Linked DNA regions of Ovis aries. The protein of the gene in region 1 purifies or fractionates together with the protein of each later gene. This does not show direct contact. Links are inferred from orthologs where the notes say so. Each region holds a gene or a part of one and is shown in the gene's direction. Other genes may lie near its edges.

Region 1 (3,500 bases):
GGTCAGTGCACGCGCCAGAGCCCATGTGGACGCCCACGTGCCCGTGGAGCTCCTCCTCGGGCCTGACGGGCGGCTGTCCCTGCTCTCCTGTCTCGGGGCTTCCGCTGACCCCTGGCTTGAAGCAGGTCTCCCTGCCGTGGTCAGTGCCGTCTGGGTAGGTGGACAGCGAAGCAGACCTGGGTGGCCAGAGGCTGCTCTCTGATGGGCCAGAGAGTTGCTGTGCTTTGCAGCACATTGTCTCTGGTGGAGCTCCTCGGTCACTCTGGCCCGAATGCTCACAGATGCTGGCGTCGGGGGCCCTGTCACACTCATGGTATAAAAGGCCCTTCTGGAAAGTCCTCAGACCGGGCAGGAGCAGCACATGGCTGCACCGGACCTGCAGGCTATGCCGAGGGTGGGCCTGTGTTGGGGGCATCCCCGCCCCCGGGGGTTGAGAGCACGGGTTGTCCTAGCTGAGGTTCACACCGAAGGGCGCGCTTTGGAAGCAGTCCTTGTGCTTATGAAGCCAGGGGTGCGGGGCCCAACGAGGGCGGCCCTTGGGGACCACCTGGCTCCTCTCTGGTCCCTGCTGAGCGTGTGGGGGAGGCCAGCAGTCTCTGGAGCTTGTGGGAGGCCCTGACCTGCTGATTTGCCGTGTTTTCTGTGCACGTGTGTCTGGGGGATCAGGCCACAGGATGTGCTTCGGTGCCTCCTGGTGACCCAAATGCGTCCTAACCATCCTGTTGATGCAGGCTGGCCCAAGCCTGCCATGCCAGGCACCATCTGGGGGTTCCCTGTGGGTGCGGTGGTGTCGTGACTGTCCTGTAGTACAGGGTTAGAGCTGGTGCCTCACCCCTGTACGCAGGCCTGCCTGTCATCCTTCCCTTGTGGGAGCCTGGCTCTCACTGTGGCGGGTCTCCTCTCCTAGTATTTGCCTCCAGTCTCCATGGAGGGCTGGGGCTCCAGCCACAGTGACTGGGGAGTGTGCTTCCTGGGCTGTGGAGGGGGTAGGAAGCCAGATGCTGCATGTGGGTGAAGCATTCTCAAACCAGAGAAGTTTCTCTGTAATGACGAGTTTTTTTTTTTTATTTAATTTTCGCCGTGCGAGTCTTTGTTGCTGCTTGAGGACTCTCCTTAGTTGCGATGCTTCTTGTGGCAGTGGCTTCTCGTGTGGGGCTTGAGGGCGCTTGGGCTTCAGTTGTGTTCTGTGGGCTTAGTTGCCCCGAGGCAAGTGGGATCTTCCCGGGCCAGGGATCGAACCCTTGTCTCCTGAGTTGGTGGGTGGATTCTTAACTACTGGACCAACTACTGGACCACCAGGCAAATCCTAAACACAATATTTTGATTTTCCTTTCTACTCCAACGAAGAAGTCGAGTTCACAGATTATTGAAGGGGTGAAAGTGATAGTCCCTTAGTCCTGTCTGACTCTTTGCGACCCTGTGGACTGTAGCCCGCCAGGCTTCTTTGTCTGTGGGATTCTCCAGGCAAGAATACTGGTGTGAGTTGCCATTCGCTTCTGCAGAGGATATTCATGAGCCAGGGATCAAACCCAGGTCTCTTGTATTGCAAGCAGATTTTTGACCACTGAGCCACCTGGAAAGCCCCAGGGAGACGCACTTAGTAAAATTCAACAGATGCTTTTGGTTGGAGAAGAAACAGTTCAGGACCCTGGATGGAAGGGGCACGGCCTGTGGCCGTGCACCTGTGTGGCCCGGTGGTGTCTGCAGGCCAGGCCAGTAGCTGGGCAGCTAGGGCTCCTGCTGAGGCGGTGGCGATGCTGCGGGGCCTAGGGAGGCTTCAGAGCCCATGGGGGCTCTGGGCACCCACGCCAGCCCAGAGCCTCTGTCTGCATCGCTCGATCTGGCGTGGGCCCTCCTGGCAGCCTCAGCACGGCAGGCTGGTGGTGGCTGGGACGCGGCCTGCCCTTCCCCGTGCTGGGCCGCCTGGAGTTCGGCGGCCTGTTGTTCTCATCCGCCCCCGCTTCCCCCACCAAGAGCCTTGCTCCGGGCGGAACGCTGCCCCTCTGGTCCTCCGGGCTACCGGCGCTGGGTCGAAGAGGTGGGCCAGGCCAGGTGGCTGGCCGCAGTGGGCCCTGAAAGCAGTCAGGAGCAGGCCACGGTGTGGGCCCCGGGGGCTGGAGGACAGCGCTGCAGAGCCTGGTGGGCTGGGGGGCGGGGGCGCTCAGCAGGGGGTGTGGCCAGTGGGTGCCTGGTAGTCCTGAGGCCTGCTCTGTTGAGGGGCCCCCACCGGACGTAGCTCAGTGCTCGGGGTGGGCACAGCCCAGCCTCACGTACATAGAACACTGGGCCCGAGGTCCCACGGGACCTGGCCCAGAGGCATGGGGGTGGGCAGGCCCGGGGAGTTGAGGCCCCTGGGGAGCCCTGGTTAGGGGGTGGGGGGGCAGGAGCTCTGAGCTGGGGCCCGAGGGGGAGGGGAGGCCGTGGTTTGCGACCCTCCCTGGGGGCTGAGAGCTCCCCCAGCTTGGGGCGAGTGTGGTTGCTGACCTGGCCCATCGTGCGGCTGTGCCCGCTGGTGTCGGGTGTCGTGAGGAGGGGGCTGGCAGCCAGGCGGGCCCCCCTGGAGACAGCCCCCAGGTCCCCGTCATGACCGTGCCAGGAATCGCAACCTGTCTGCTCTACTCCCCTCCCCCCAGGAGTCGTGTCCACCGTGGTCCCGGACTCTGCGCACAAGCTGTTCATCGGGGGCTTACCCAACTACCTGAATGACGACCAGGTAGGCCTCTGCCTGCCCCGAAAACTGATGGCACCGTGGCCCGACCCCCGGCCCCCACCCCCTGCCCCGCCCTGCAACCTGACTGTGCCCCGGCCCACGCAGGTGAAAGAGCTGCTGACGTCGTTTGGGCCGCTCAAGGCCTTCAACCTGGTCAAGGACAGCGCCACCGGACTCTCCAAGGGCTACGCCTTCTGTGAGTACGTGGACATCAACGTCACGGATCAGGTGAGCCCGGCCCCAGCGCGCCCGGCCCTGCTGGGGTCTCCCCTCAGGGCGGGGCGCGGGGCTTGCAGCTCTTCCCCCTTTGCCGTGCCCTGTCTGCCACGCAGCCTGCTCTGACCCCGACCACCTCTCCCTGCCCCGGCCCCTCCCCCGCCCCACCACAGGCCATCGCGGGGCTGAATGGGATGCAGCTGGGAGATAAGAAGCTGCTGGTCCAGAGGGCGAGTGTGGGCGCCAAGAATGCCACGCTGGTGAGCCCCCTGGCACGTCATCTTCCATTGGCTCGGGGCACTGGGGGCGGGGAGGGGCTGGGTGCTGGCGGGTCCCCCCACACCGGGGTTGGGCACCCCGTGACCCCTGCCTCCACCCCTCCACAGAGCACCATCAACCAGACCCCTGTGACCTTGCAAGTGCCCGGCCTGATGAGCTCGCAGGTGCAGATGGGCGGGCACCCGACAGAGGTGCTGTGCCTGATGAACATGGTGCTGCCTGAGGAGCTGCTGGACGATGAGGAGTATGAGGAGATCGTGGAGGATGTGCGAGATGAGTGCGGCAAGTATGGGCT
Region 2 (3,500 bases), on another chromosome or scaffold:
TTCTTCTATATATTCTTTTGGTTAAAACACAAGTTCTATGAGATTTTCTCTACTTTACCTTTCTGCTTTTCATTCCGTAAATATTGCATGTCTCTTTTAGGCTCCTGGTTATAATAGATGGTCTGATGTATTACCATGGTGTGTCTGGTTCCCAATTTTTAGGTGAATATTTTTTAAAATGGGATTTCTAGTTCATGCTTGTTGCTGAGTTGATAAATCATTATTGTCTGTTCAGGATATTTTAGTCTAAACTGTATTTTTAAGTTTTTTTTTGCCTTGGGTATTTTTAAACATCAAAATACTAAATTTTAAAGCTAATTATGGAGAGCATTAATCCAGTAATTTCTTTTAGAAGACGTGAACGATCAAGAGAAAGGGATCATAGTAGATCACGAGAAAAGAGTCGTCGTCATAAATCCCGCAGTAGAGATCGCCATGATGATTATTACAGAGAGAGAAGCCGAGAACGAGAGAGACACCGGGACCGGGACCGAGACCGGGATCGAGAGCGTGACCGAGAGCGCGAGTATCGTCATCGTTAGAAGGTGGGTATTCCTTGTTCCTGTTGGTTTTAGCATACCTATTATTAATAGTAATTATAACTCCAAGGCTATTGTTTATACAGTATATACCCACATTTTATATCGTCCAACTACTTGTTCTGAATTTAATCTTCTGGAATCATCTGAGGTAAATGACAGGTGAGTAATGACAGGTAAACATTTTGACCTCTTATCCTTAAATATTGCTTGCTTGAGTTAACAGCTTTTAGGTTTCAGACTGTTAATGATCCTAAGAAAGCAAGAAAATAATCAAGAGGACTCATTGTCTACTTCTAAAATCTAAAAATTGGGATTCTCTTAATCACATACATAGTTTGCGTGTGATTTAAAATATAAAGGATGAATTAATTCTTACTATAATATGCTTGGACTTAAAATAAATTTAAAGTTTCTCTCCTTGAACTAACTTTATTTATTCCTAAAAATTTTATAGACAATCTGACACTTGTTGCTAGTTGGAAGGTGGTTTGTTAGCATTGAGAAAAACTTTTTTTAAGAAAAGACACTTTTCCTGCCATCTGGGCTTTGTTTTTAAAAGAAAAGAAACAGTATTCTTTGATTTGCGAAGAAGATAAGAAAGTTACTCAGTTAAAATGAATTCAGATATTCCATATAGAGAATTTTAAGTTGTATCAAATCATACATCTCAGGTTAGAATAACCTTGAAGTAATTTTATTTGATGTTTCATTCATAAACCATAATCATTGTCTTTTTTTTTCTGTATTTAAAAACTATTGTGTACATTTTTCATAAAGCGGGAAGAGTTGTCTGTTTATACTTCATTTTCACGTGTGATTTTATTTTTATATTTGTGAACAGCATTATTCATGTGAAGAGTGGGAGGAGGGCACTGTAAGGCTTGTGCATGTGACACAAAAGTTATTCTGTAAACAGAATTCTTTTCTTCATAGGTTGGTGGCATATCCAAATTAAATTAGACTAAAACAAATCCCTTATAGGTTACTATTCTTTACATGATTCTTTTCCATAACTAAAATTGGGAAATACTGAAAATTCAGTAATTATTAGTGTTTAAATTGTTATGAGCAAAACCAAAGACTTGCATGTAATTCTGTGACAGAGTAGCAGTTTCTTTAAGTAGATATATTTTAACAAATGAGATCCTTTTTTAAGTAATACTACTTAGAAAACAAGCAATGTAAATCTTATTTTTGTGGTTTACAGATAAGTTATATTATTTACAGTTTTAAGAGCTTTTTGAAGGGAAAAGGCAAATTTTAATACTTTTCCTTGGATTTTGAATATGCATCTTGAATATATAGTAAACTGTAATTTAAAAATAGTTCTCCATGTACTGTATTATAAACTTAATACAATTTTCAAAACATTTTAATATAAGGCAAAATATTTTTTACTTTTAAAACTAAGCTTCTTGGAATTGATACTGTTCTTGGATGTAAGAATTGAATATTGTGTCATGTAAAATTAAACATTAGATTTTTTAGATGTAGTCCCCTTCCTCTCCCCAAGTTGAATGGGCCTAATCCCATCTTAAAAAAAATTCCCAGTGCTCATCAGTTGCTTTAGGTGAATTATGGCCACTTTAGTGAAATGCTTAATGTTCATCAGCCATTTCATTTAAAGTAAGATACAGGTCCTTCAAGTTATATTTTTACTTAGACTTTGTCAGTTACCAACAAGCTTCTAGTTAACTGGGGTCATGAGAATGGAACTTGCATAGCTTTTCAGTCTTCTCCAGGACTGGACATGCCCATTGGGGGCATTCTGAACCAGTTTATATCCAAAGTTAATTAATAGGCTTTCTTAATAGTTTTAGTTAAACTAGCATAGATAAATAGGTAAACTCTTTCTGAAAAGTCCATTGTTAATTTTAAATACCTTGAATTAACTAACATTACATTCCAGTAATGGGTACACCTAACTATATCATGGTTTGAGTTTCATTACATTCAGACATTAACTATGAATTCTTAACTTGCAAACTAAATATTGTTGGCATTTTTTCTTAATCGCTGATGTGTACCATACCAAAATTCCCATGTTTTGTTTGTACATTATAATCAGAATTGAGTTGTAATATTGTTATGTGCCTTCATCCAAGCAAAATTTTACATACGCATTTCCAGTGCAAAAAATTTTGTTAACCTGGAATATTGTACCTTTGCTATATACCAAAAAGTATTTATTGCTGATGTAGACATGGAATAAATGGGATGGGGAGGGAATTGGGATTAAATATATCCAAGTGAAAAACTTTCTTAAGCAAATAAAAACTATTTGCACATTTAATCACCATCAAAATAAGGTCTATTGACCTTTTTTAGAAGTTTTAAAATATGAGTCCTTTTGAACTTTTATGTAAACCTTAAATGGACTAAATGGAATAAGAGTAATTTTGAAGCTGAAGTGAATGTCACTGTTAAGTCTGTATACAAATAAAACAATAATGTGACCTATTATTAAAGTGATGAATGGCTAAAAGGGCAAGTTCTTAATTTAACTGGAAACTTAATGATGTTGGCAAGCTGTTAATGTCTGTCCCATCTTAATTTTTTTGTGTTTGAACTGTTGGTAATGTTAACTGCATTCTCTCATTTAAAAAATGTATTAGTTTTTCTAAAAGCATTTAATATCTAAGTTCAAATATATAATATTTTAATGAGAATATCAATATTGTGAATTTCAGCATGTAAATATATTGTGCTTTATATTCTGTAATTTCTGCCTCAATTCTCAGGCCACTCTGAGCAAAACAAAAGTAGTTCAGTGTTTTTAATATTGTATGGTTTTTACAGAAAAAATTTTATTTTCATAGTTATTTTCTTTCATGTTTCTGTTATTACTTGTTGGGAACAACGCTGCTTAGCAAATTTCTGTTAATGGTTTTGCTTTTGTTTGTATACTGAAGATTAATGAAAGGATATTTAAGAAATACTTTCTATTCATGCTTTTCG
Region 3 (3,500 bases), on another chromosome or scaffold:
TGGAGAGGAGCTCAGAGCCGGTCCCAGCCAGGGGATTGCTGCCTCTGCTTGCTCCGGGAGTGCTGGGGCATTAAGATAAAATTTCCTTGTCGCTCTTTTTTAGGACGATTCGTTACCTACCTGGAGTGTCTTCGACTGTGGGCATCCCCCGGTGTTCTTTAAGGTGAGCTATTTTAAGAAAATCTCTCAGTTTATAATTCATTTCTTGATGCAGAAAACTTCCTGAGTTAAGATTTTTTTTTCACTAGCTGTAAATCTAACGTTGAGCAGAAAGCCAGCTCTTATTTTCACAAGTTTTATTTAATATTCTAAGTACTGAAAGTCTGCGAAGAATCCAAATCTAGAGGATTCTGAGGTCAACAGTAAGGATATTGCTCTATGTATTAGAAGTACATATGTGTTTTGGAAAAGTGCTTTTTTTGCTTTATAATTTCTGTTTTGGGCACTTTAAATAATTCTTAAATATTTGTTCTTTTATGCTTCCTGTCTTCCCCTCCCCCCTTCTGCTTGTCTTTTTTAACCTAACCAGACTGCCATATTCTAGAAGGTAGTGTTGGCCCCACGTGGCCATCAGTTAATCTCTTGCTAATCTTGGGCCTGCTGTGCTGGGGGTGGGACTACAGTGACCTACTGAACAGATAAGTCTGTTGCTACTAGCCTCTCAACGCAGTTGCAAAGAGTTTTAAACAAATTATGAATTGTTTCCCTAGAATGCTCTGGGATCATAGAACTATAGATTTAATTTGCGGGGGGTGGAGGGGGGAGAAAGTCTTGTGGAAAAGTTAAATTTAAGCTGAGAGTATAAGGATTAGTGGGATTTAGCTAGACAGAAGATTGGGTGGGCTATCTTCAGACAGATAATTACTACATGTGTCAATTCCAGTGGAACAGAGAGCCTGCCACATTTCCGGCACAGAAATACAGGAATAAAGGTTTGTTTGCTTTCTAATGCAAGTGTGTTTCAGGTCAAAGTTTCAAGGCCTGAGCACCCCCTTGGCCCTATGATTTGTGTTCCAGACAGTGGGGAGCCACTGAGGTGTTGAAACAGTAGAATGACATAAAATTACACTCAAGAGAGCTACAGATTGGGCTGGTAGGAAGGACTGGAAAAGTTGTAGATGTGAATGTCTTGGAAAGGGCTTGTTGGTACTGGAAGTAGAAAGGGATGAAGGTGATGCACAGAGATGATGATGATTTGATATTCAAGCAGTATGCTAAGGACCAAGATAGGAGAAATCTCTATACTTGCTGGAGTCAAGAATTACTGAATAGAATTTAGGCATGGATTAGGAGTAGGATTAGGGTGGAGAATGGGATCACCCCCCACAAGGAAATAATGAGCTCATTAGATTTAAGGGCTTGCAAGTTGTTCAGAGATTGCTTCAGTTTCATTCTAGAGCCTTTGGATGGCAAGTAAGGCCATTTATGCTTCAGGATACTATAGAAGAGTTTCAGAAAAAAGTGGTGTTGATTTGTGGTACATAGGTTGAACTATGGAATGGAGTTTGTCTAGGCCAGTCTTGGCCTCGGGGAAATCTTAAGTCTAGGAACCTGTGTGTCCTGAGCCCAGAATTGACGCTGGAAATACAAGGATCAGGTGAGGTTACCTGCAAAAATGGGGCCAGTGATTGTGTATGGTTAAACCTTGGTGAAGGACTCAAAGAGGCAGAGTACCTAAGGAATTAACAGGAAAACCAAGAGCCAAGAGGAGAAAGGATTTCCAGCGAGAATGGTTAAATCCTGTGGGCACAGAAGAGATGGAGATAAGAAAATGTTTCTTTTCTTGCCATGGAGATCCTTGGCAGAGTGACATGTGCCCTAGTTTAATGGTAGGGTAGGGAAGGACGTGTAAGAAGCCTTTTTGAGGATGAGATTTCACTGAAAGGGAAAGCAAAGCCAAGTAGCTGGAGGCAAGTTGGTATAAGGAAAGATAGTATCCTAGGGGGTGATTAGAAATGAGAAAATCTCCTTAATTGATAAGGAAAGTAGTGTTCAGTGAAGTTTGTATGAAGATGGAGATTCCTTGGGGTGGGTGGAGTTGACCAGGGCAGAGCCACAGATAAGAGCTCAGCTACAGAAGAAGCAACTCCCTTGTTTATAAATTTCTAGAACTTGCTCTGATTTGCTTCACCAGGTCTCTGTTAAACCAGTTTTCTTTTCTTTTTCTTACCATTCATGCTTTCTGGTTTTGTGGGGTTTTTAGAAATCTGTCCATGTTTTGCTCTAATAGTGTAAATATGTCATGCCATTTGAGATAGTTTTAGGATTCATCTGAGGTAAGATTCTGTTTCATCTTTCTGCGTGATAATGTGCCTAGATTTTTTTGAAAAGGCACCTTTTACCACTGACTTAATAGCTACATCTGTTATACTTGATATCAAATGGCAATTCGATAAAACAACTTTTGTATACTTGTGCCTGTTCTGAATATATTTTTGGCCTTATCTGTATTTTTATTGTCTGTGTTATTCGTATATTGGTGTCTGACTCAGCTCCTGCTTTTCAAAATGCTGCCCTTCGACATGGATTTGACCTTTACTCTTTTTTCAGCTTGGACTCTGGGTGTCAGATGCCACTTATACTTCATGGCACTTTGTCAGGAGGGGCACCTGTCATGCCTCTTGTACAATGAAGAGTCTATTCCATTTCTAGTCCCTCAGTGAAACACAGCGATGTATGTGTTGCATTGAACAACGTAATGTGTTTTATTTTGTTTTTTGGGGGGGGGGTCATGCTGTGCTGCTTATGGCACTAGGGATTGAACCCAGGCCATGGCAGTGTGAAACTGAGAGGCATATAGTTTGATTTCTATGTTTGCATCTCATATAACTGATACTCTGCTGATGGACTTACGTGTTTGTTTGGATATGTCTTAATTTTACCATGCGCTTGATTGGGGTTTTGAGTAGACAATAGGACTTCTCACCTACTGTCTTGCCTTTTACTTTAGTGATTGCAGTAATGCAGTCTGTTTTCCTTTAGTTTCATATTCTTGTTAAACATATTAAATGAAAATTTATGTAGTCTTTGCTTTCTTTTCAGCCACACAAAGCTGCACCCGGGCTTGTTTGACGTCTGCTCTGTCGAGTGTCCATGATGTTGGGCCCTGAGGGAGGTGAAGGCTTTGTGGTCAAGCTCCGTGGCCTGCCCTGGTCCTGCTCTGTTGAGGATGTGCAGAATTTCCTCTCCGACTGCACGATCCATGACGGGGTCGCAGGTGTTCATTTTATCTACACTAGAGAAGGCAGGCAGAGTGGTGAGGCTTTTGTTGAACTTGAATCAGAAGATGATGTAAAATTGGCCCTTAAAAAAGACAGGGAAAGCATGGGACATCGGTACATTGAAGTGTTCAAGTCCCACAGAACCGAGATGGATTGGGTGTTGAAGCACAGTGGTCCAAACAGTGCTGACACTGCCAACGATGGTTTCGTGCGACTTCGAGGACTCCCGTTTGGATGCACCAAGGAAGAGATCATTCAGTTCTTCTCAGGGTTGGAAAT

Evidence for each region. Proteins that work in one complex are often made in the same cells at the same time.
Region 2: the proteins of U2AF2 (region 1) and CPSF6 fractionate together in Homo sapiens (co-fractionation; 3 studies listed by BioGRID, with this or other methods). This does not show direct contact. The link is inferred for Ovis aries from reciprocal best matches to the Homo sapiens genes U2AF2 and CPSF6.
Region 3: the proteins of U2AF2 (region 1) and HNRNPF fractionate together in Homo sapiens (co-fractionation; 3 studies listed by BioGRID, with this or other methods). This does not show direct contact. The link is inferred for Ovis aries from reciprocal best matches to the Homo sapiens genes U2AF2 and HNRNPF.

Annotation. Positions count from the first base shown.
Region 1 is NC_056067.1:62,662,731-62,666,230, reverse strand, and holds part of U2AF2 (splicing factor U2AF 65 kDa subunit), read left to right. Parts: intron 1-2,633; coding exon 2,634-2,713; intron 2,714-2,815; coding exon 2,816-2,938; intron 2,939-3,099; coding exon 3,100-3,198; intron 3,199-3,312; coding exon 3,313-3,500. UniProt on the Homo sapiens protein: Plays a role in pre-mRNA splicing and 3'-end processing. By recruiting PRPF19 and the PRP19C/Prp19 complex/NTC/Nineteen complex to the RNA polymerase II C-terminal domain (CTD), and thereby pre-mRNA, may couple transcription to splicing.
Region 2 is NC_056056.1:150,756,531-150,760,030, reverse strand, and holds part of CPSF6 (cleavage and polyadenylation specificity factor subunit 6), read left to right. Parts: intron 1-100; coding exon of another isoform or gene 101-191; exon of another isoform or gene 192-206; intron 207-352; coding exon 353-542; 3' UTR 543-545; intron 546-625; exon of another isoform or gene 626-3,500. UniProt on the Homo sapiens protein: Component of the cleavage factor Im (CFIm) complex that functions as an activator of the pre-mRNA 3'-end cleavage and polyadenylation processing required for the maturation of pre-mRNA into functional mRNAs.
Region 3 is NC_056078.1:13,135,149-13,138,648, reverse strand, and holds part of HNRNPF (heterogeneous nuclear ribonucleoprotein F), read left to right. Parts: intron 1-103; 5' UTR 104-3,093; coding exon 3,094-3,500.